Ovis aries: one gene and its partner. The protein of the gene in region 1 interacts with the protein of each later gene in a pairwise test. Links are inferred from orthologs where the notes say so. Each region holds a gene or a part of one and is shown on either strand. Other genes may lie near its edges.

What was found.
Region 2: the proteins of A2M (region 1) and C15H11orf58 interact in a two-hybrid assay, tested with the Homo sapiens proteins (2 studies listed by BioGRID and IntAct). The link is inferred for Ovis aries from reciprocal best matches to the Homo sapiens genes A2M and C11orf58.

What each region holds. Positions count from the first base shown.
Region 1 is NC_056056.1:206,398,521-206,406,707, forward strand, and holds the start of A2M (alpha-2-macroglobulin), read left to right. Parts: upstream 1-2,910; 5' UTR 2,911-2,970; coding exon 2,971-3,056; intron 3,057-8,187. UniProt on the Homo sapiens protein: Is able to inhibit all four classes of proteinases by a unique 'trapping' mechanism. This protein has a peptide stretch, called the 'bait region' which contains specific cleavage sites for different proteinases.
Region 2 is NC_056068.1:35,436,575-35,444,792, reverse strand, and holds the end of C15H11orf58 (small acidic protein), read left to right. Parts: intron 1-920; coding exon 921-981; intron 982-2,502; coding exon 2,503-2,612; intron 2,613-3,330; coding exon 3,331-3,558; 3' UTR 3,559-5,773; downstream 5,774-8,218.

The sequences.
Region 1 (8,187 bases):
GTAGCCCCCCCTCACTGAAACTAAAGAGAAGCCCACAGAGCACAGAAAAAAATAAATAAATAAAGCTTTTTTTTTTTTTTAAAGAAAGAGGAAGAACTTTTCCCCATATTTGTTAAAAATACATTTAAAAAATACCTCTGTGTGTATGTTTGTGTGTGTGTGTGTGTTGAGTTGCTCACTTGCGTCTAACTCTTTCCAATGCTCTTGGACTGTAGCCTGCCAGGCTCCTCTGTCCATGGAATTTTTCAGGCAAGAATATTGGAGTGGGTTGCTGTTTCCTCCTCCAGGGGGATAAAGACCTATCATATTCTAAATAAATATCCACATTTTAATTTCCCTCCTTGTTCATTCAATCCTAGTAATTCTTATTCTGCTTGATCCTAGGCAAAGCATTCTTTTTCATGAAGTATATTTGCTTTTAAAGTTAAAAATGTCATAGAAAACCTGTCTTGAGCCACTAGTACAAATAAGCCGCAGTTAACCACTATCTTTACTATTTACTTGGCTTTACCAGTTAGATTTTTACTTACATACGTTTTCAAGTTATTAGTATGTTTTCAGCTTAAAGAAGTCCCTTTAACATTTCCTGTAAAGCAGGTTTTGTGGTGATAAACTCCTTTAGCTTTTGCTTCTATGGAAAACTTTTTCTCTTTCCTTCAGTTCTAAATGGTGGCCTTGCTGGGTAGAGATTCTTAGTGAGAAGTTTTTTCCTTCACAACTTTAAATATATCTTGCTACTCCCTTCTGACCTGCAGAGTTTCTGCTGAAAACTCAGCTGATAATCCAATGGAAGTTCCCTTGTACGTAACAAGGTCTTTTTGTTTTTTTCTCTCTTGCTGTTTTTAAGATTCTCTCTTGAACTTTTAATTTTAATTATAACATGCCTTGGTAGAGATCGCTTTGGTTCTTCTCATAAGGAACTCTTTGTGCTTCCTGTACCTGAGTATCTGTTTCTTCCCCTTTCTTAGGGACGTTTTCAGCCATTATTTCTCAAATTTTCAGGCTCTTTCTCTCTGTCTTCTCCTTTTGGGACTCCTTTAATGTGAATGTTATTCTGCTTGATGTTGTCCCATAGGAACTCTTTACCTGCCTCCACTCTTTCAACATTCTTTTTTCTCTTTGCTGCTCTATTTGGATGCGTTCCACTGCTCTTTCAGGTCACTAATCCTGTCTTCTGCTCCACTTCATCTTCCGTTGAACCCCTCGAGCCTATTTTCAGTTCAGTTATTATATTCTTCAGCTCTATGACTTCTGTTCAGCACTTTCTTATTTATCTTTGCTCAAGCTCTCACTGTGTTCATCCATTCTTCCTCAAGTTCAGTGAGCATTTTTCAACTATTCTTTTGAACTTTTTTTCAGATAATTTATGTATCTCCATTTTTTCAATTTATTTATTTTAATCAGAAGATAATTACTTTACAATATTGTGGTGATTTTTGTCATACATCAACATGAATCAGCCATAAGTATCCCCATTTTGCTAAGATTTTTTTTCTGAAGTTTCGTTTTGTTCATTCGAAGCATCTTCCCCCATTCTCCTCATTTTGCTTGACTCTCTCTGTTTGAGTCTGCATGCTAAATAAAACAGCCCACTTTCCCATTGAAAGAGTGTCCTGTGTATGAGATGAAGCTTATCATTTATCCTCACCCTAGCTCTTGGTTGTTTCAAATCAGTGTGTTAAGCAGCCTGATTTATTCTTGATGGATCCCAGTTGTTGAGGGTGTTTTAAGACCTGTCAGTGTTCCAGAAAGCTTGCTCCCAGAGTTAGTGCCTAGTTTCAGACAGATTGAAAGCCAGATCCTCCAGCAACAGCTGTTAAAGTACATAAATAGTCCTGTGGGTCTGCAATCCCTGCTGACCTCCAGACCAGGAGATCCGGGAGTGTTTCTGGGCAACAGTTGCCAGAACTAAGCTTTCCTCTGAGTGTATAAGCTCATTGCTGGAAGATCCCAGAAAGCCATGGCAAGGTCAGGGGACGATGCAACAACGGGAGGGTGCAAAGACTGCATCTTCCTCCCTATATTCCCTACAAGTGTGTCTGCAGCATCTAGAAGAGCAGCAGTGCTGAAGCCTATCCCTAAGGCTGAAGTTCCAGGATAAGTAAATGTCTTTTTCACAGGCAGACTATGGGTAATTTTTTTCTGCTGCCTGTGTAATGTCCTGGGTGTGACAGCCTGCCCAGAACTATCTTTCCAATCATTACAGACCTGTGGGGCCCAGGGAGGTTAGTCCCTGTGGCCACCAGCACCAGGTGATCAAGAGGTGTCCTGTGTGAACTGTGTCTACTGCCCAGCCTTAGCAAGTCTGTAGGAGAATGTTGAGTGTGGGGTGGATCCACAGTGTTAGTGATACAGGGGAAGTATGTTGGGAGCAGGGCTTGGCTGCAGCTTGAGGAAGGCTAGGAGAGAGTGCTAGATGGGTGGGTCATGATGAAGTGAGGGGGATAGCGAAGACAGGGAGAACACCTGCAATTTTAGTCAAGCACGGGCATTTCTTTTGAATTACTTTCTCCAGAGCTGCTTATTCAATCCTCTGTCAAGAAGTCCCCCTAAAGTCATTGAATGAGTTACTGGCATAATGACACATCCCTTGACCCTCAGAGGTAGCTCTTTTTGACAGCTACTTGCAAGAATTTTGAAGGAGTTGAAGAAGGATGGGTTGAAAGTTCCTCCTCAGGAGCTTTGCTGTCAAAGTTAGAGAAGGTTAATTCTTACTGGAACATAAATTTTTATTGTCTGGAAATGACTCAGAGCCTGTCAGACAGAGTTTAGCCTTGAGACTAATGAAGCAATCGCTGAGAGCATCAACCCTTTCAGGGAATCTGTGTCCAACCATGAACTCCATTTGGAGGCACTAGGTGGAGCTTGTTTGCAAATAGCATATAAAGTCTGCTAAATTTGAAAGGTCTCAAGGACCAGGCTGAGGGCAGGAGCTGGGCGCGATACAGTGCCTGCGGTTTGCCCCTCACGATGGGGGAAGGCAGACTTCTTCACTCTTGTCTCCTGCTACTTCTCCTCACTCAGTTTTCTACCAGCACCTCAGATTCTGTGGAACCGTAAGTCTCACCCAACATCTCTTGCTCAATAGTCTGTTTTTTATTTCAGTCTCTCCCTTATATCTCTGCTTTGCCTTTCCTAGTAATTGCTACCCTTTCATTCCTTAAGATACCTAAAAGTTACAAGAAAGTAGTAAGACTATAACAAGGCTTTGCCGTTCCTAGTAATTGCTACCCTTCCATTCCTTAAGATACCTTAAAATTATAAGAAAGTAATATATTTTTTATTTCACTTATTCTACATTCTTGAAGTCATGTTTTTCATGGAGTCAATAATAGTCATAAACACAATAAGCAGTCATTAGGAAGCATGACAAACCTCAGGCCTTACCCTCACAGAATCATTCTTTCAGGTGAAAGGTATGGACTATAAAAATATTTAAAATGTACAGTTGGGAGTAATTAAACTCATATTGCAGATTATATGTACACAGAAGGTAAGGAACGTATTAAATTATATCACAAGCATATAATTTGCAAAATTCATACTGTGGAAAACTGACAATTTGATTTCTCCAACAAATAAATTGTCTCAGAATGAGAAGCAGAGACCACCTATAAAATTAGAAAGATTTAAAAGGTATATCAATCAATTAATCAATCACAATGTATAGGCCTAATTTTGATAATGATTTCAAAGACACCTTTTAAAACATCATGACATCTGTGATGACCTGGACGGGTGGGATGGGGGCGTGGGAGGGAGGCTCAAGAAGGAGGGATTATATGTATACATTTGGCTGATTCACGTTGTTGTACAATAAAAACTAATGCAACACTGTACAGCCATTTACTCCAATTAAAAAACATGACATTTTAACAAGGAATTATAAATTTGTACTGGCTGAATATTTAAATATAGATGATATTAAAAAATTTTGTTAAATGTTTATGTATGATAATGTAGCTTGTTTTTGTTTAAAAATAATCCTTTCCTTCTGGAAATATATGCTGAAATATTTTAGCGTTTTGCTTCAAAATGATAATGGGAAGGGTGAGGTGGTTAGAAGGTGAATGTAGATGGAATGTGGATATGGTATAGCTAAGGCAAGAGTGCACATAGATGTTCTTGGATGTTAGAACTGGGTATTAAGAGTCTAGTAGTTCACTACATTAATACAGTATTGTGGATGTAGACTTTTAGTAGATTTAGAACAGTTAGATGAACAAATAAATAATATGTGTACATATATACATGGAAAGTTTTATATATTTACAAAAAATATTCCAGATTAAAATTTACACAGGATTGGTGATTTCTCACTTTACATATAAAAGATGCTTTGCAGATAAATTACAAACCAGAAAGATTTTCAGTGTGGTCGTGGGTGACTGGTAACCAAGCATTAGGGTTATTTTTGAGGTTAACTTTAGCATTTCTGTTCAAATGATGCTTTTTTTAAGACTATAACTACTACCACTACTTTTAAAGACTACTATTTTTCTAAGTGGAACATATGTCAGGAGAGCAGGATAAAAACATATTATGAAAATAATAATAATATTGTGGATATATTGGATTCATTTATTATTTTGTCTAATTTTATGCATGTTTGAAATGCTCCATCATAAAAACTTTAAAATTAAAAGGAAGTAACAATGAAAGTTACAAAACATTTAGAACTGAACAAGAATTAAACCATTTTATGTCAAAATACCTGATTTATTTGTTTAAATATCTAGTACATGTGGAAGTACATTTTATAACACCTAAACATTCTATGAATTAAAAAATCAAGAAAGATTGTTATATGAATGAAATGAGCTAGAAAAATGGGGAAAAAAGCAATATATAAACAGTGTTGACAGCGAATTGTGAAGAACAGAAGTTAATAAAATGAAAGTCTACAAAATGATAGAATCAAGAAAACAAAAGTCTGTATTCTAAAGATTAATAAAACATACAACTGGTAAATTTTGAAAGCCTCGATGAAAAATATAATGTTCTAGAAGAATAAAAATTATACAAATTATCAAAACAGAGGATAGAATATTTTTAAAAATTGAATAAACCAGAAATGAAAGTGAATTAGGAGTAAAAAATAATCCTTCACTTACAAAAGATAGCATAACAATATTTTATAGAAAAATTTCATCACACTTTCAAGGAAATGATAATCTCAATCCTAAAAACAATATTTAGAGAGCAGAAAAAGAATACCTATATAAATTATTTTAAGTTTAATATCATAAGAATCACACAAAAAAGAAAATTAAATGTCAATCTCATGTATGGACATAGAAGCAAAATGCAAAATAAAATACTGCCAGTTTGTTACAGCTGTGTATTTAGTTAATTTTACATTAACTGCTAAAACAGCAAACCCAAAAACTCAGTGACAAAGCACAATAACCTAACTTTGTCATTTTTGTGTATGTCACTTCCAAATACTTATCCGTCAAACAGTGATATAAAGGTGCCCACAGGAAGTTTTAATACAGCAGACCTGGATATGACATACATCACATTTACTTATGCTCCATTAGCCAGAACTCAGTGGCATGATGAGACAGTCTTTCTGTGTATTCAGGAGGAAAAGGAAAGAAACTCAGTGCAGAACTAGCCAGTCTCTGCTACAAATGGTGTGTGTGTGCGTGTGTGTGTGTGTGTGTGTGTGTGTGTGTGTGTCTATGTGGCTATGTGTTCCAGTTATCTACCTAGAGTGTAATGAATTAAAACAATACTTTATCATTTTTCTCTCATGGTTTTATGGTTTGACCAGGTTCACCCAACAAGGCATTATTTGCTTTGGTTCTCTCTTGCAGTTGAAGTCAGATGTTGGCTAGGGTTTTGGTCCTCTGAAGATTCAACTGGACTGGGTATCCAAGATGGCTCCTCAGATGGCATGCAGTTCATGCTGGCCATCACCTGGTGGCTCATCTAGAAATGCTGCCCACAGTGTTGACACATGTCCTCTCCAAATGGCTCAGGATTTGGAGCAAGATTCCAAGAGACTGTGTCCCAAGTATTAACATAAGCATTCTAGGGAGTGGGACAGAACCTGAAGAGCCTCTTAGTGTCTAGCTTTGGAAGTCACATAGTACCACTTCCATCACTACCCTTTTTCAAAAGCAAGGCATAGGGCAAGGAGAGGGAACCACATAAGCCTTAGAATACTGAAAGGCATGGTTTATTAATAAACAATCTCTAACCACTAAGCTTTCATAATCTTCCATAAGCCCCTCACTGATTTGCATCTCACTTCCATGTTAAAAAAAAAAAAAATAACACTCATCCATGTTCCCCTCCAACACTTGATGTCTTGTCATATGAAGACATCAGCCTCAGGCTTGAAATCCAGCATCTAAATTAGGTCCAAGTATAGATGAGACTCCTTGGGGTCACCTGCTCAATTTCAGTTCCTTTAGTGTAGTTCGCATTCTGAATATCTGTGAACTAAACAGAAAAGTTATCTACCACCACTCTGCTGGGGGCAATCCCAGGACAACTGTGACAGATACTTCTATTCAAAAAGGTGGAGCACAGGAGGCCACTCCAGCTCATGGTCCATAGCCACTCTGAAATCTGACCAGGCAGTTGTCACCAGTTCTCTGATTAGGGTTCAGTCTTGCTTCCTCAGAGTGGTTCTCTGTGGCTCTGGAATCCACTCTACACTCTAATTCATCCTTTATCTCCCATGAGAAAAGGCATATGTTTTCAGCTGAGATATGCTCTCAATCTTCTTCCAGTCTGTAGATATTTGAGGGCTCTGAAATCTTTTCCCTTTGAACCATTTCTGTCCTTTGAAGTCCCATCTGGAAATGCTTCTGTTAGTACAGTTCTCCTTTTAAATGTCATGGTTTCATATCAGTTTTAATGAGATTTATTCCACGAGACAAAACCAATACCCAAAAACCTCTCCAAAAGGCTCATCTCTACCTTAGGTCACCTACAGGGCTCCTGTAAACTAGATTATTAGAATTCTTATTGTCTAGCAAATACAGAGGAATACCCTTAAATTTGTCAGAATTTTTTTTTTCTATTCAAAAGTAACTGCTAGGCATAACTTTATTTAGTTCTGAACCTTAATGTCAGATGCTACAGTCAAAACTTTGACTTTATTTTTATCCCAAAGTACATTGATTCTGTACTTTGATTTTTATTTTGGCTTTGATTTTTCTCATGATACCCAGGAATAAATGTGAAAGAAATGGGTAAAATATATATAAGAAAAAATTTTAAATAGTAATGAAGAACACAAAAAAAGGACTTGAACAAATGTTAATAAAGCATCCTATGTTTTTGGATAGGTTAAAAGTCAGCATCATGAAAATGTCAAATGTCAATACTCCCTAAATTTATTTACATTTTATGTAATCTTAGCTCAAAGACCATTAGGATCAGAGATGCTGATTCTAAAATTCAGATTTTAAAAACTCCATTAAAATAGATGACATTTTATATATGTGTTTCTGTCTGCCTATGTGTCTATCTGTCTGCCCCTGGTTCCTGGCATAGCACTCCTAAAAATCCCCTTGGAATTTCCTAAGTGATAAGAGTACTTAGAGCATCTTTTATTTGAAGTTTTGCTCTTTGACCCAAGTTGCTGACTCAGAGCTCCTAAATCCATTGGGATTTTTTAGATAAGAGATCTTTTCTTCTAATGAAGCAACTGTTGGTGGGCTCCTGGATAGCTTCAAAATGGGATCTGGGCACCAGAAAGAGAAAACCATGATTAGAATCTATTTCCCTCCAAAATAATGGCTTCAATGTCTACATCTCAGTGTTCTGGGCTGCCACGCCCCCTGCTGTTTCATCCTTATGTATGTATAATTCCTCGTTAATTGTATTTAATTTGCAAGAATCAACTATCAACCTGAGCTGGTTGTGCCTCCTTTTCAGCCCTACTGTTTCTATTTTCATGCATGCATGCTAAGTCACTTCAATTATGTCTGACTCTTTTCGACCCTTTGGACTGTAGCCCACCAGGCTCCTCTGTCCATGGGATTCTCCAGGCAAGAATACTGGAGTGGTTTGCCATGCCCTCCTCCAAGGGATCTTCCTGACCCAGGGATCAAACCTGAGTGTCCTGTGGCTCCTACATTGCAGTTGGATTTTTTACCGCTGAGCCACCAGGGAAGCCCATCTCTGTTTTCAGCATTCTTTAAATGAGGCATTAAGCAAAGGAAA
Region 2 (8,218 bases), on another chromosome or scaffold:
TTCTGTGATTCCTTTAACCTGGCCTCAGGTGGTCTCTTGGAGAGCTTCTCTGGTTCCTTTAATCTGGAATGAGGAATGCTAACATCTTACATTTGTTTATGGGGTTTAGTTCTGTAAAGAACTCAGAGATTCTGTTATTTGTATTTCTTAAGGTGGAACTGAGACCCTACCCAAAGGCTACACTATTGTTTCTTGACTGCTCCTCACGCCACTCTGCATCCCCTCCCTTCTCTGTTTAGTCTATTTGAATCTGCCCTTTGGAACTCAAGGAAGGTCATGGAGGCTGGAGTCTCTTCCCTACAAGCAAGAAATGGACACAGAAAGGTTTCTGTGCCCAGGAGCCCCACAGGCTCCTGTTTGGTTTCAAAACTAAGTATGAACCATAAAGAATGGATTGGAGCTGATAAATTGAGACTAATTATATAAGCTAATTAGTTGGTAACTTTGAACTAGATTGTTTTAAATTCTGTGCTTTTTCATAGTGTGAAAGAGTGTTTTTTGTAGCCAGAAGTAACGAGCTAGCTGTTTGTGGTCTGTTGCTAAGTAGTAATGATTCTTATTTTTTATATTTTAGATTTCTGTCATTTTGTTCATTATCTTTATTTAGCTAAATAATCTGATTTGCTTTCTCTTCAGGATATATACCTGAGACATAAACATTTTAGAAAAGAAAATGTTTAAATTGATCCAATTTTCTAGTTATCTGTCTGTCTTGTTTAAAATCAACATACTTTCTATACCCATCCTCTGCTTGGTTTATTGTAATGACACTGCCTTCAGACATAACTATAATCTACTTATTGATTTTGTTTCCCCTCTCCATCCCTATCCATGCAAGAATGTAAATTCAGCATCAGGCACATAGGCAATAATTAGGTTAAATCTGTGGTTTCAAATTCTAATACATTTCCTTCTTACAGAAAGAACATACTGGTCGTCTTGTTATAGGAGATCACAAATCCACATCTCACTTCCGCACAGGTAAGAAGGTAAAATATAATTAAAGTGGAGGTGCTAAATTTGGAATGTGAAATACTTGCATATATTTTGGGATATTCTAACTTCTGTGTATAATTGTTGATTAGTTCTGATGATTAACATGTTGGAAATAGATGTTGTGTATGTAAACATGTTCCATACATCATGTAACAGTATATACTCTGATGAAGGATTTGAAAGAGTTTACATTAATACGAATATTCTAACCAAGAAACTGACTTGCTTCTGTTTCCATTTCTACTAATTTACAACATGTAGTATTTTAATTGTAGTGAAGTTTTATGCCTCATCTTGCCAACTCTAGTTTCTAGAGTTTACATATATTTTGTATACTATTTACTATACAGTGTTAATAGTTGGCATATTATACTGGTTTTTAGTTTATTCACTAAGTTTATGCTCTTCAAAGATCTCAGAGCAAAACTCATTGGAAAACCTGAAGAAATGAATTCTTTTAATTTGGGGGGGGGGATTTAAAAACTGAAAATGAATTAGAATTTGGATTCAGTCTGCTGAAAATTTTTCATTTAATATTAACCCTGATCTTGGACATTATTAATAACAGGGCACAATACCCCATATACATTTAAGAAAACCTTTACTTACATCATTTAAATTAACTTTATACTGACCTAGATTATGTAGCATATTTTAGAAATTAATAGGCATTTTATTTTTCTGGTGTTGAACAATTACTTCAAATTAATCTGCATTGCTACAGAAGGCTAAAGAGTCTGAACTTTGGCAGAATGGAAATGTATTTAACTGTTGCACTTATTCTTTTAAAATATGAAGTTATTTTCTTGTATTTACAAATTAAAATGCCACGTACAGAAAGCTCCAATGGTATTGGTAATATTTTAGTCCTTGGGTGGTAAGTTTATAGATGGTTGTTTAGTATTCCACTTCATAACTTACATGCAACAGAGTATATGTTAAAAGTATATGTCAAATGTCACCTGCTATATCGGTTCAGTAAAGTGATATGCAAAGAAAGGCATACAGAGAGCCAATTCCAAGGTCATTTTATTTAGCCATTTTCTGAACAGAATTATGTGCCTTTTCATTATTTGTGTTCAAAGACAGAAGCTGTTGTTTGTTGGAGGTGTTTTTCTATGACTAGGAGGAAACTTTCACTTTCGGGAGAACCATTATGAGACTATATTAACTAAAACATGATACCCAAAGTTCTTAGCAATTAATATTTACAGTATCTAAACTTCAGGCAATTCTGAGAATTCCTTATCTGCTTTAAATTATTACATGGAAAAATTTTTCATTTTTAATAAAACAGCTTCTAGTTCGAGTAGCTACTAAAGAAGTAAGTTATTTTGTCTGTTAGGTAATTACATATGGTATATAAACCCATTCACAAAATTCACTGTAAAATTACTCAGAGAAATCAGCCCTAAATATAATAGCATCTGTATTATGGGTTTTTTGTGTAATCAAATATTTTTATTAATTTGACTGAAACATAATCAAAGTACACTGGACATACAGGGGAAGAAGACAAGAAAATTAATGAAGAACTGGAGTCTCAATATCAACAAAGTATGGACAGTAAATTATCAGGAAGATATCGACGACATTGTGGACTTGGCTTCAGTGAGGTAGTAATTAACATATTTTCATTAAGTGGAAAGATACTGCTAATTTGATATCACTTATTTCTGTTAAATTACTCTAGCAACCAAGAATCCTAAGTAGAAACCTCTCTTTATATAGTTACTTAAAATATTTTTATATGCCAAACTAAGTCTTTGTAGTTAATGAGAAGAGAGATTGAGAGTTTTTGAAATACTAGAGTTTTTTGATACTAGCTTAATGTACATTCTGCTTGGAGAATCATTAGGGCACATTTTAAGTAGGCATGAACAACGTACTCACAAGTTAGATGAAGTATTTCATGTAAATACTCATTAGTTATCTCAGTTGTTTCCTATGTCACCTCGTTCCATATAACTACTGGTTCATTACTCCAAAATAATGTAATATGCAAAACATTGGTAACTGTTTTCAGCATTCCCGTGAATCAGTGGTTAACTTGCCTTATTCTTAAAAAAAGTATTGTTTCCATCAGGAAGACAATGTTAATTTCAAACTAGGGAGGGAAGGAAAGGTGGTGGTTTCAGAGCCCTTTCTTAAGCAAAAATCCTCCTCAAGTACCAGTTTACGAAACAGCTGGAGACGCCTGAGCCCTCAGCTCTTCCCTAGGCAGCCTCTGTTCTTAAACTGCTGCTTTAATGGCTAGAGAGTGAGACAAAAATGAGGGTCTTTTCCAGTTTTTGTACTGGATAATTTTAATAGGCTGTTGGTTGATATTTGTAGGTAGATGATCATGATGGAGAAGGTGATGTGGCTGGAGATGACGATGATGATGATTCACCTGATCCTGAAAGTCCAGATGACTCTGAAAGTGATTCAGAGTCAGAGAAGGAAGAATCTACTGAAGAGCTCCAAGCTGCTGAGCACCCTGATGAAGTGGAGGAGTCCAAAAACAAAAAAGATGCAAAAAGCAACTATAAGATGATGTTTGTTAAATCTAGTGGCTCATAACTCCCAAACACTTAGTCTTTGTATTAAAAGTAAGCCTTATTGTTATAATGCACAGTGGAGGACTGCTTATAGAGCACAGACCTTTGTATTATAATTTTTAAAAAGGCCCTTTTAAATAATTACAAAGAGTGTTTGCTTTCAGATGCCATGGGTTACACTTTTATGGGCATGATTATAACCATTTTTGTAAAGAGTAAGAGTTGTATAAAATAAGAAATAAATACAATACTCAACTTCTTTTCATGTTAGCATCATCAACAATCTCTAATATCACCTTTTTACCCCTTCAGATACAGTTATGGGGGAAACAGTATTTTTTGTGTGGTAGCTGTTTATCTTTTTTTGTTTCTTCATGTTTTTCTTTTATAAATTTTTATCTGGTACTGTGATGTGTTCATGGGAAATATTCTTTTATTATACTTTCTCATAGTAGAACTATTCATCATGGATATTTCTGCTGCCAATAACAATCTAAATTAATGCTGGCAAAATATTTGGAACTTAGTTTACTCTTACTGATTCAGCTCTACTCTTTTGGACCAAAGCAACATGAGAGCAAATACTTTTCACACCTGTTAGGCTGGGGTTGCAGTTGTCATGTATTTGGAATGTTATGATCCCAAGTAGTCTTTATATAATTTGAATGATATTGTATGTTAGATTTTTCTTTTAATATAAAATTGGCCAATTTTTACAGAAGAAAATTTTTCTCTGATCATTTGGTCCTATCTATTTAGGAATATGTAAAATGGAACTTTTTTTTTTAAAGGTAATATGTGACCAAAGTTAATTTCCTTCCTAATGCTTAAATAAAGAGAAAGCAGCTTCCCATATTTGGTTGTAATACCTTTATCCTCATTATCTAAAAATGAGGAACAGGCTTATTGAACAAGAATCTGAAACCAAATTCTCTTCATTTTATCCCAGTGCTGTTATCCTGATTATCTTACAAAAAGGAGTATTGCTTTGATTTTATCACTACTTCTGTTGGAGTAAGATTAGTATCTGACTACTATTATGTGGTTAATTTGTACAGCAGGTTAACACAAACTGCATTATGGGCTAGTCAATGATGTTTGAGTAATTGGGTTCAAAATCTTAATGTTTCTAAGTGATGTGTTCAAAGGCTTGAGTTAAAACTATTTGTTTGCTGAACTGTTATACATCTAGAAGCTTAAGTATGTTAATGTGTTGGATTATTTTTTTTTTTTAGTCCCTGTGTCATTTTGAAGTGTAGAATGTGTTCGAGGAATGTAGCAACTAGAACAGGTGATTTTTGGATTATGCAGTCCATCCTGAAATTTTTTTTAGATTTCACACCCCCAACATTTTTTTTTCTTATTTCTCACATTGTTTTATAATAGGTGTTACCCTATATAGTAAAATACTGAGTCAGTGGGTAGTAAACAGAATGTACGTTTAACAAATAGCATTTGGTTTAAACAAGTTTGGCTTTGTTCAGATTTCAGTTTGACCATTGATTTTCAGATAACTAGCCTGTAGGGTTGCTTATTACAACTAATTTAAGAAGTGAAAACTGATTTATGTTTAACAGTGTTATATTTTAAAAAGTATTTTTCATCAATTTATTTAAATATGCTGGGTTATTAATAAGCCTTGATTCTTATATAAATAGAAGAGCCTTGTTCTAAAATAACTATACTGGAGGACCTTTTTTCTTCATCTTCAAGAAATTCTTACTCCAGTTCATTTATTATTGGACATTTAACAAAATTCAGGGTCGGAATAAATTTAGGTCTGTTGGACCATGTGGCCCAGTGGCCCAGCACCACATTAAATATCATGGCTGTCTTTTAAGCATGAACATTGGGTTTTTTTTTTCTTTATTAAATTGCGGGGGAGGGGGATTAAAGGAAGACAGATACAATGCCATTTTGATACCCTACTAAAGTACCAGGAGGGAAAACAATTTGCTTTTGCGCAATGAAATATGCTAGTGAGGTGAAAGTTGAGTGGCAACTTTTTCCTACTATTGTACTTTCTTACCTGAAATATACTTCTCCCAGGTGTTGATTATACTGATGTTCCAGTGATCTTTCTATTGTAAAGGTTTCCAGGAACACAGATTCCTGTGTGTATTAATAGGTAAAAGTCTTCTCATATCTGTAATTTTTTAAACCTGGAAGAATTCAAGGTATAGAAAAAAGTCTGATGTGATTGTTGTTCTGATTAAACAATGGTTTGAGAGCAGAAAGGTGGGTCATATTTTTTGAGTAAATTTTGAGGTAGTAAATTTCAGCTGCCCGGTTGGCATCAGTGAACACTGCAGGGCTGTGGTTCCATTGCTTTGTCTCCACAATAACCACATCTTGGATACTTTCAGTATCCAAAAACAACTTTATCTCCAAAATGACAAATGTAGAAATCTTATCTCTGACCGTAACTGCTCTGTTCCTTTATGTATATTCAAATCAGATCATTTCACTGTTGTCACCTGTTTCATCAGCCCTGTCTAGATTTTTTTATGTGATCACTTCAGTGTCCCTGTTGTCAGTAACCCAAATAACCTTCCCTAAATGTCATAACATTCCTAGAAATACAGCCCTGGATTATCCAGTTTCCTATTATTTCTGGAGAAAGCCCACCAACTGAACAAACCAGTATTTCTAAATGTTGATTAACAACACCGCATATTATCCTTACTGTTTTCTCTTATCAACCCTTCTCCCATTCTTAACTGTTGAAAACCCGTATTTTCAAACTTGTGACCCTCTCTTTCCTCCTTCACTCTTATAATATGTCCTTACATACTAGCTTACGTTAAATAATAGGTTTTATCAGGCAGAAATTCCCTGAACTTCAGCCTAATTTGACAACCATGGCGAAGTGCTCCACTCTTCTAGGTCATCCCAGCTCTACCAACTTAGTGTTGAACTCAGTGACCTTGGGCATAACTAGATCTGAGTCTCCTTCCACCCTTTCATCAGTAAAATGAGATTATCAATAGCAACCACCTTGCATGGTTATTATGAGAATTAGTTAAAACAGGTAAAATGCATTGTTGTTCAGCTGCCAAGTTGAGTGTGACTCTTGCAGCCCCATGAACTGTAGCCAGCCAGGCTCCTCTGGTCCATGGGATTTCCTAAGCAAGGATACTGTAGTGGGTTGCCATTTCCTTCTCTGGGGGACCTTCCCAACCCAGAGATCAAACCCATTTCTCTTGCATTGGTAGGCAGATTCTTGACCACTGAGCCACCAGGGAAGCCACATTTTCAATAGTTTTAATAACTTACTGCTGTTACGGTTTGCTTCACTGCTATTCCCTTCCCCCCAATCCACTCCAACTTTCTACCCAACTTTATTTAACACCGCAACTGCACTGAAAACTGCTTTGATCAATGAAATCAATGATTCTTTCCTAAACAACATTTTTTGGCCACTTGATGCAAAGAACTGACCCATTGGAAAAGATCCTGATGCTGGGAAAGATTGAAGGCAAAAGGAGAAGGGGGTAGCAGAGGATGAGATGGTTAGATAACATTGACTCTGGACATGAATTTGAGCAAATCCCGGAAGATAGTGGAGGACAGGGGAGCCTGGTGTACTGCAGTCGAGTTGCAAAGAGTCAGACATTTAGTGACTGAATAACATCAGAATGATGTTTCTGAAATCTATTAAGTGACTCCATGTGAGCAAGGTTTCTCAATGCTTTCATCTATAAAAATAGAAGTTTTCTCCTTTAGAAACTCCAATTACATGTGCATATTTCATTTCCTGTCCCCATGTCATTTTTATTTTTATCCCTCTTTTCTCCTTATTGTGATTTGAGCACTGTGTACTCATCATTCCAATTTTATATTCATTTTATGATTGTGTACTTTTTTCCTTGAATTCTGCCAGTTCATGTTTCTTCTGTTTCCTCATATCCTCTTGTATTTCTGATGTATCAGTTTATAGAGATCATAAGATATTAAGGTTGTCATGAAATCTTTGATCATAGCTTTCAACTGTTTCTTGAGGAAATGTTTTTCTGGTCAGTGTTCTTCACATGTCATTTATTTCTCTTGACCCTTTTTCCTCTATTTTAATATCCTCATGCAAAGCCTGTGCCAGTTCTTTTTCATTGTTTAGTTACCTGCAGATATTTACTCAGCACCTACTCTGTGCCAGGCACTATTCTAGCTCCTGAGAGGACAGCAGTGATATATATGTACTGTCTCCCCTTCACCAGAATGTACGCTTCATTAGAGCAGGGACTGATTCATTTACTGCTGTCCTTCCAGAAGCTAGAATAGTGCCTCGCACAGAGTAGGTGCTGAGTAAATATTTGCAGGTAACTAAACAATGAGAAAGAACTGGCACGGGCTTTGCCTACCTTTAGGCCCAGGTAAGATAGGCTCCTGCCTTGGGGGCTACATGTTAGAAGGCCCTGCATATCAGCATGTGGGTGCCTAAGTCACTCAGAATTTGCCATTGAGGACTAGCGCAATGCAGTCTATAACCTTAAATATTTAACCTTGTGACCAGGAAAATCCTCCATGTCTTTTGCCCTATGTCCTTGAAACAAAAGGTGACTTATGTCAAATTCCATGAAGGTTTTTGAGTTTCATCACTGCTAATGTCAGAGACAGACACTGCTTCTTAGCATAGAAAAATTCTAGTGGCATCAGTATTTCAGTAAGAGAAATAACTAATTTGT